Linked DNA regions of Danio rerio. The main gene of each other region encodes a partner of the protein of the gene in region 2 in a complex. Links are inferred from orthologs where the notes say so. Each region holds a gene or a part of one and is shown on either strand. Other genes may lie near its edges.

Region 1 (4,133 bases), on a different chromosome or scaffold from region 2:
GACCCAGTATGCGTGTCAAAAAGCGGACGAGTCTAAAGCAATGACTGTACAACCGAAATGTTGCCAGACGTCTGATTTTGAGAGGATGGGCCATCCTCTATATCAGCTCCACTCATCTTGGTCTGCTAACATTACTGCTGCTGCAATCTGAACTCACGTGCGACAGCAGGTGGAACGTAGCTCACGTGCAAACAGCTCAACTAATAAGAGAAAACGGACGTCATATCGTAATCAAATCGTCATAACACCACGATGCATAGAGACATTTTTGCATTGCAATAAATCGTACAACGATAAATCGTTACATCCCTAATCACGATATATTTTGGTAATTTTCCCCCTAAATAAAATTTAGCCAGATCCGCACAACATACCTCTAAATAAATAAGGGTGCTGACGTATGTAGCCTACCTATATTTAGCAACCCTATTTAATAGAGCGGCATAACAGTGCTAGTCACATGGTTGCTTTCACTTTTATGAACATGAAAAAAACTAGTTTCGGCTATTATTTAAATTTAATTGAACAAAGGGAGCTGTTTACATTGCGTTAACCAAGGCAACTACTGATGCGGTTTGTGTAATGTTTTTAAAGAGCTTTGTCGCAGCAGGACAGTGGAAAATGAAACCGTATCCGTCCTGTCTGGCCTGGTTTGGCACGGAATGGAACGGTTCTGCTTAAAGAACGATTCAGCACGATAGTGGAAAAGCAGCTATTGACAATTTTGTTACCATATCTAAACTATTAAACATGACATAATTCGTATGTATTTATATGTGCAATTACCCAAGTCTGAAGATATCTGCCAGCTTCAGGAAGGCAGAGTTGATGAGGATGGGGAACGGGTATTTCTGGAAGAGTTTGGGAAAAAGGACCACGGCTTCACACTGCTCGCCCAGTTTACAAGACCGTAAACCTGGAGCAAAGACAAAATCAGAAGTGTGTGAGTAAAAGGAATGATTCACGCTCAAATATGTATGTTTTTTATTCATACTCTGTAAAAATGTTGGGTTCCACAATAGCATGAATGGATTAAGTTATATTATTAGATTTTACAAATTTTAGTTGATTGAATCTAAAACAACTAAGTGTTCCCAAAATAAAACTTAACAATTGTGTTGTTTCTGTTAATTTTAAATAAATGAACAAACAGCATACATTTGTCAAGTTACTCTATAACGATGGTTTGTTTTGTAGACTATCGGAAAAATATATAGCTTAAAGGGCCTAGTAATTTTTACCTTAAAATGTTTCTTAAAAATATAAAAACTGCTTTTATTCTTACTGAAATAAAACAAATAAGACTTTCTCAAAAAGAAAAAAATATATTATCAGACATACTGTGAAAGTTTTCTTGCTCTGTTAAACACTATTCTGGAAAAAAAAAAATAACAATTCAAATGGGGGCTATTAATGCTGACTTCAACTGTATTGCTTTTTTAGTGTCACATCCTTTGTTTGTTTTCTAAACCCATTTCAGTTTTATTACTCTGTCGAACACTAAAGAAGATATTTTAAAACCTGAACCACACTGTTCCAGTTACTATGACCATTTATGTGAAGCTGCTTTGACACAATGTACATTGTAAAAGCGCTATACAAATAAAGCTGAATTGAATTGAATTGAATATTTTGAAAAAAGCTGTAAACCTGTAACTATTGACCTACATTTGTTGTCCTACTGTGGAAGTCAAAGGTTACTGATTTTGAACATTGTTCAAAGTATCTTCTTTTGTGTTTGCAGCATGCTTTTTTATATAATTTAAGCACTTTTCAGATGCACATTTTTTGAATGCATGTGTATGTAAATGTGTGGCATATTACACATTTACATACACACACATGCTTTATTACATTTTATCAGATTCTATTCATAAGATTTTTTTTTATATGAATGTCATTTACTTAAATCTTAGATGTATCTAATTTCATCTTATACTCAAGGAGTGCAGACAAAATAAGATAGAAGGCAGATCATGCTACAGGCTTATGTACAGACCCCAGATTTTCATTTTATGCACAAGCAATGAGAGTTATTATACTTTTATTTAAACAGTAATTTTCACTGTTATTACCCGTTTAATAAGACAGGTAAAGTTGGTTTTATATTCGTACATTTGTTCATTGACAACTTGTGACACGCTCCCTATAGCGTTTACCATGGTACTTTGAATATTCAGTATAAAATCACATGTAAGTGTGACTTCAAAACAACATAAGCACAATTTTTTGACTGTAAACAATGTTGTACGTTCAGTAAGATCAATGATTATGAAAGCAATGCAATTACTTTCCAAGCACTTCATCCATAATCTAAGCACTTTTTAGACCTTAGTAGTTTAAAATTAAAGCATTTTATCACCCGTGTGGCGTGTGCAAAGAAGAAGAAACTCATAAAAGTCAAACTACTTGACGGTTGCGTAAATTCTGGATCTTTCCATAACATATGTTACATCCCTAAAACATTCTGTAAAAATGAAAACAAAGCACAGTATAGACTAAAGTACAGTAGTAGCCTACATAATAAAATTATAGAAGAGCTTTTTCATGCGAACAGATACAATGTATGATATTCAACATTAAAATAGCACACACACACACTGCATCAAAAAACAAATACACGTGTGTTGTTTATAAAGAGCCACCTTTATCGAGCTCCATCAGCGCTGAATTGGCGTCCAGCTCCTGCTCGCCGTATGCCGCCTCCGAAAGAAACGAACGCGCTGCTGAAAGCGACATTGTTTATTATTAGACTGCAAAAAATGTAACCCGATAGACTGCTCTCGGATTTAACACTTTATTTGTTTTATCAGATGGAGATTTTGTGCATTAAGTTTGAAGTGTGACCCGGTTGTAAAGCAGGTCACGTGACGCACAACGCCAGTTTCGTCGTCGGGTTTCCGTTGCGCTACAAGGAACGCTAGAAGCGAAAGCGACCCAAAGAGGTGACCAAAGAAGGCGGGGCTTATGAGTCGGCATTTACCCTGATTAGTCTAAACCTCTGCTCAGCTTTTAGGCTCTTCATGCTATCATAATTTTTATTTAATCATTTGCAAAATTATATATATATATATATATATATATATATATATATATATATATATATATATATATATATATATATATATATATATATATATATATATATATATATATATATATATATATATATATATATATATATATATATATATATATATATATATATATATATTATTGCTTGCTATCAGAACAAAATCCAAAGGATCCCAGAGATCACTTTAAAATGATCAATAGTATACACAGTCATAAAAATTATCACAAACACATACAAATAACATATCATTAGACTGAAAGGGAAAATATTAATAATTATAATATTAATAATAATAAAATTATGATAATAACAAAATTACTAAATTAAACAAACTAAATTAAACAAATGAATGAAATTACAATGACACTTAAACAAATAACCAAAAGGAAAGCAACTAAACTTAAGCATCTCCTACATCTGTATAATATTTCAGGAATTTTAGGGTTTTTTATTCTTAATAAGATTAAGTTTTTGTGTTTCTGTGGCGTTTACATGTTCTTCCAGTGTTTGCGTGGGTTAAAAAAATATATGCTGTAGGTGAACTGGGTAGGCTAAATTTTGTGTGTGTGTGTGTGTGTGTGTGTGTGTGTGTGTGTGTGTGTGTGTGTGTGTGTGTGTGTGTGTGTGTGTTTGTGTGTGTGTGTGAATGAGTGTGTATGGATGTTTACCACTTATGGGTTGCAGCTGGAAGGGCATCCGCTGCGTAAAACCATATTCCGCAGTGGCAACTCCAAAACAATAAAGGTACTAAGCCAAAAAGGAAATAAATGAAATAATGAATATATATATATATATATATATATATATATATATATATATATATATATATATATATATATATATATATATATATATATATATATATATATATATATATATATTGTTAATGTTAATGTTAACCCGGATTTTTTTGGGGCCACATGGCGCCTCTAGTGTTCGCAGCCATTCCACTCCGCTCGCAGTGGCTTAACACTTCCTGTTTCCTGACGTGTCGACCAATTAGAACACTGTTCGTCCATCTCGCGGGGAATTCGTCTTCAGCGCTTTTTCATTGTTC
Region 2 (4,148 bases):
GCAATTTGATTTGTGATTTCATTTTGTAGTCAAGCTTCAGCTCAATAATCTGCAAGTAATAGCAACAATTCTGCAACAGCTCTTAAAAATGACCTGGTTTGGTTCAGTGTCTGCGAGTTTGAAACCAAAACATTCGCATATTAACAAATGCTGTTTTTCTTTTATGTTAATTCATTATTGCTTTTGAAACAGCAGATACCATTATCCCACTTGTCTGCGCTTTCCTGTTTTTGTTTTTTATCATGGGCGTTTCGCAGAGTTCAATTCTATTCAATTCTGATTGGGCAGAAAGTGTGCTCACTCAATTAGATAGTAAGAATTCACACACAGACGGCAATCTCGCATTTGCTCTGGGCGGGGGAAATGAAATAATCCAAAAATATTGTACATAACTAAATGCTAATTTCAAATAAATCGCACAGCCCTTATAACTGTTAGTTTTTATAGTGCTGGAAATCAAATGGGGAATTTGTGAGAAATGTCAACAGATTTATTGCTTATATATAGGCCCATATGAAATCTGTGCACACAGATTACCACAGATTTTTATTCCACCACTGAGTCCATTTATTTACTTGTGTAAATGTGAGTAAATTTATATTTATTTAGTTTTTTTAATCAATTTCTGTAATAATATTGACCTAATATAAAAAAATTGGTCTTTTGATTTATTCACAATACAATTTTTAAAGTAATAATTTCTGTCTTTTATTGGATATTTTATGACAGACTTGTGTTGTTTACCCAATAAATGGATCTACATATATGAATTTGCATTTTAAGCACTAAAAAAAAAAAGTTTAAAAAAATATTCTTTTTTTTATTTCATACTTTAAGTTTTGTTACAGTTTTACTAAAATCATTATGCATAAATCCACAGATTTTTAAAATAATTCTGCGCAGAAATAACAAAAAATGTCTGGCTTTATTTATAAGCATCAGGAAAGAGAAAATAATGTATTTAATTTAATGTACCGAGAAAAAAAGTTACTTTACTATAATTAGATTTTAGTAATTTTATATAGAATTTTAGTTTTTAATAAGATTTTATTTTCAATTTTCTATTTCCATTTTTAAAAAATTTAAATTCTAAAAATGTGTTTTAATCAACCTTTTAAAAACTGGTATAAATTTATTTGAATTTCTATTTGAGGTATTCTCAAAGATTAGGTTATATTTATGTTTTTATAACTGAGCTCTTTTTATTTTATTTGATATAAAGTTTTTTTTTTGTATTTACAACATTACTTTTTTTTTAACAAATATCCCCATTTAATTTTTATTATTTAGATTCCAGCTTATGTTTTTCCTTATAGTACATACAAAATTTAGTACAAAACTTTTTACATTAGCAACAAACTGATATACCAAAGGTTTATTTATTTATTTTTTACAGATTTTCGAGTGACATTTTTTTATATATAGTTAAATGTTTAATTATAATAACCTTGATAGGAAGCATAAACTATATAACATAGCAACTTACTCTTATATTTTATACTTTTAAACATCTATGTAAGCATATTAAATGCCTGTATGTACTTGGGCCAAGTCCTCACAGATAGTAAAGTTTGTGAATGTGGTTTGAGGCCACCATGAATGTCGGTTAGCCATTGGACTATTAGTTCCCTTAGGGAGGGTTTTCTTCTAAATTAGTTTAACCACACCAAATTCTTTAGACAAAATGTGGGCTTGACAGAAAGTTAATATGCTAGCAGATTATAAGAGACACTAGAACACCATAATGTTTACCAGGAATTGCATACTGTGAAGTTAGATTAAACTAGTATACTCCTTATTTAGTGCAACAATAAAGCATGCCCCGTATTTCATATACATAATTTATACATTGATAATGCATCTCCTACCTCAGCTGATTAGAAAAGTCATCCTCTACGTTGTCGTCATCCCAGTTATCTTCCCAAACATGAGCATCCTCATCTTCATCCAGGCCCGTCCAGTCTGAGAATGAGACAACAGCTCAGTTCAATAAGATGATTAACACGGGCTTCAATGTTGACTTAATGTTAATGCACAAATAAGAGTCACAGAACAGACTGTACAGAGCATTAAACATACATACGTTTAACAAAAGCAGTCATTGACTTCAAATTGAGCAAATGACAAGTGTACACAATGTATAACATTAGCTTCAGAGATGCTAAAATGCTAACTACTAAAACGTTTTTTTTCCACGGCTGTGGACTAACTTAGAACACGCTCAGATGTATTATTTAAAAACGTATAAACAATTTATAATTATTAGATTCCTTTAAAAAACACGATATGTTAACAATTTGCTGTATAAAGAATGTTTTGTCAGTTAGCATGCTACGTTAGCTGTGCTAGCTGAGTCACTGTCCTGTCGTGGATGTTTATTATCTCTAAAACGAGCAAAAAAAAGCTAATTTCTGTTCATTTTCAGTTCACTTACCCTCTGCTGGGAATTCCTCAAATTCATCATCCTCCTCCAAAAGCCCCAAATCCACTGTTTGCTTCTTTTCTGACATGTTGTGTTTCTGTGAACAGCGTGGACACTCGACGTTATGAACTGAGAGAAATGTTCTGGTGCGCATGCGCAAAACCGTGCTACCGATTGCGCCAAGCTTTTTAACATGCACAAGGGCTTCACTGCCTTTTTATAAGCCAAGCAGTTTGAAGTGTTTATATAAAAAGCTTTATATAATAGATATCGCCGAATGAGCCATATGGTTTATAGTAGTCTTCTAATATTATCAACGTGCTTGCAGTATTACAATTATAGATTAAATGTAGGCTACTTTGAAAGTAATCACTGGTGTATTAAAAAAAACAGCGGAACGAACCGCCAACTGATTCAGCACATGCTTTACGCAGCGGATGCGCTTACAGCTGCAACCCATCACTGGGAAACACTTATACACTCCCATTCACACACATGTACTACCGCCAATTTAGCTTATGATGGCTTGCAGCTGCAAGGGGATCCGCTGCGTAAAACATATGCTGGATAAGTTGGTGATTCATTCCGCTGTGGCGACCTCTGATTAATAAAGGAACTAAGAATATGAATGAATGAATGAAATACGCAATAAATATAATATAATATAATCCATATTATAACAATTTAAATATTTGATTTAAAAATTAAGCCTATTATTATTATTATTATTATTATTATATTTTATTATTATTTTCACGTTGTATGGAAAAATATTATAAATATTATTTATATTTATATGTTTTCAATAAATAGATTAATCATAATTGATGTGTTCACATTTTAATTATATGTTTATCAGATTTCATTTTTAAATATTATATCGGATATTATAATAATGTATCCTTTTTGCAAGAAATAGTTAAAAGATTTACCCTTTTTTTTCCAGGAACCACACTGTGAAACCCAACAGTCAACTTGATCACACAAAATGAGTGTAGTTGACTCAAAATTTACTGAAAGTTAGTTCTACTCATTTGAAAAGAGTTTTGAACTCAATGTTTAAACCCATAGTAACTTGAAACTGCACTTGACTTAATTTTTATAATTATGCAAATTGTACTTACTTTTTAAAAATAAAAGTAAACTAATCACTTTTTCCCATTTATTGTATTTAGTTTTTTTCCCCCCAACTTTTCTGTATCTACAGGACAATGACAGTTTCATAAATCTGCTCTTCCAGACTCCAGTGGGTTTTATTACCTTAATACAGGCTATAAGTGTAATTTATAGACTTAATGAAGCATCAAATATGTATTACTGTGATAATTACAGTAATTATTTAAAAACAGACGTGCTAAATTAGTCTGATACTGTAAAAAGGGATTAGTTGACTTTAAAAATTAAGTACAATTAGCATGAATATAAAAATTAAGTCAACTTTACAGTTCCAAGTTACAATGAGTTTACTTACATTATTTTTGTAAAGTCAACTTGTTGCTTTTAAGGCAGTTAGTGTACTCGCTTTAAGTAACTAATCACTTTTTACAGTGAAAACGTATTGGGTTTTACAGTACTCAGTTGGTTTGAGTTCTTTTCATTTATTGGAGTTTACTGTGCTCAAATTGGTTCATTTACTCAAATAGATTAAGTTCACAGCACTCATTAGGATTAGTTTTTGAACTTAAATGTTTTGTTCCTATCGGTTTCCTCAAATGGTTTGAGTTAC

What was found. The genes of interacting proteins can lie anywhere in the genome.
Region 1: the proteins of sem1 (region 2) and ints7 are in contact, whole or in part, in a cryo-EM structure (PDB 8YJB), measured with the Homo sapiens proteins. The link is inferred for Danio rerio from reciprocal best matches to the Homo sapiens genes SEM1 and INTS7. Residues at the interface, in NP_006295.1 of Homo sapiens: Ala36, His37, Val38, Trp39, Glu40, Asp41, Asn42, Trp43, Asp44, Val48, Glu49, Asp50, Phe52, Ser53, Gln55, Leu56, Arg57, Glu59, Leu60, Glu61, His63, Gly64, Tyr65, Lys66, Met67; in NP_056249.1 of Homo sapiens: Lys410, Leu413, Asn414, Val417, Leu448, His451, Cys452, Ala454, Ala455, Met458, Glu488, Val491, Thr495, Leu517, Glu518, Ser521, Asn522, Gly523, Trp524, Val526, Tyr527, Arg528, Arg531, Gln532, Arg535, Ser548, Leu549, Thr551, Gln552, Val553.

Annotation. Positions count from the first base shown.
Region 1 is NC_133195.1:14,373,791-14,377,923, forward strand, and holds the start of ints7 (integrator complex subunit 7), read right to left. Parts: upstream 2,838-4,133; 5' UTR 2,740-2,837; coding exon 2,646-2,739; intron 917-2,645; coding exon 787-916; intron 1-786. UniProt on the Homo sapiens protein: Component of the integrator complex, a multiprotein complex that terminates RNA polymerase II (Pol II) transcription in the promoter-proximal region of genes.
Region 2 is NC_133194.1:44,123,133-44,127,280, forward strand, and holds the start of sem1 (26S proteasome complex subunit SEM1), read right to left. Parts: upstream 2,871-4,148; 5' UTR 2,511-2,870; coding exon 2,435-2,510; intron 1,963-2,434; coding exon 1,869-1,962; intron 1-1,868. UniProt on the Homo sapiens protein: Component of the 26S proteasome, a multiprotein complex involved in the ATP-dependent degradation of ubiquitinated proteins.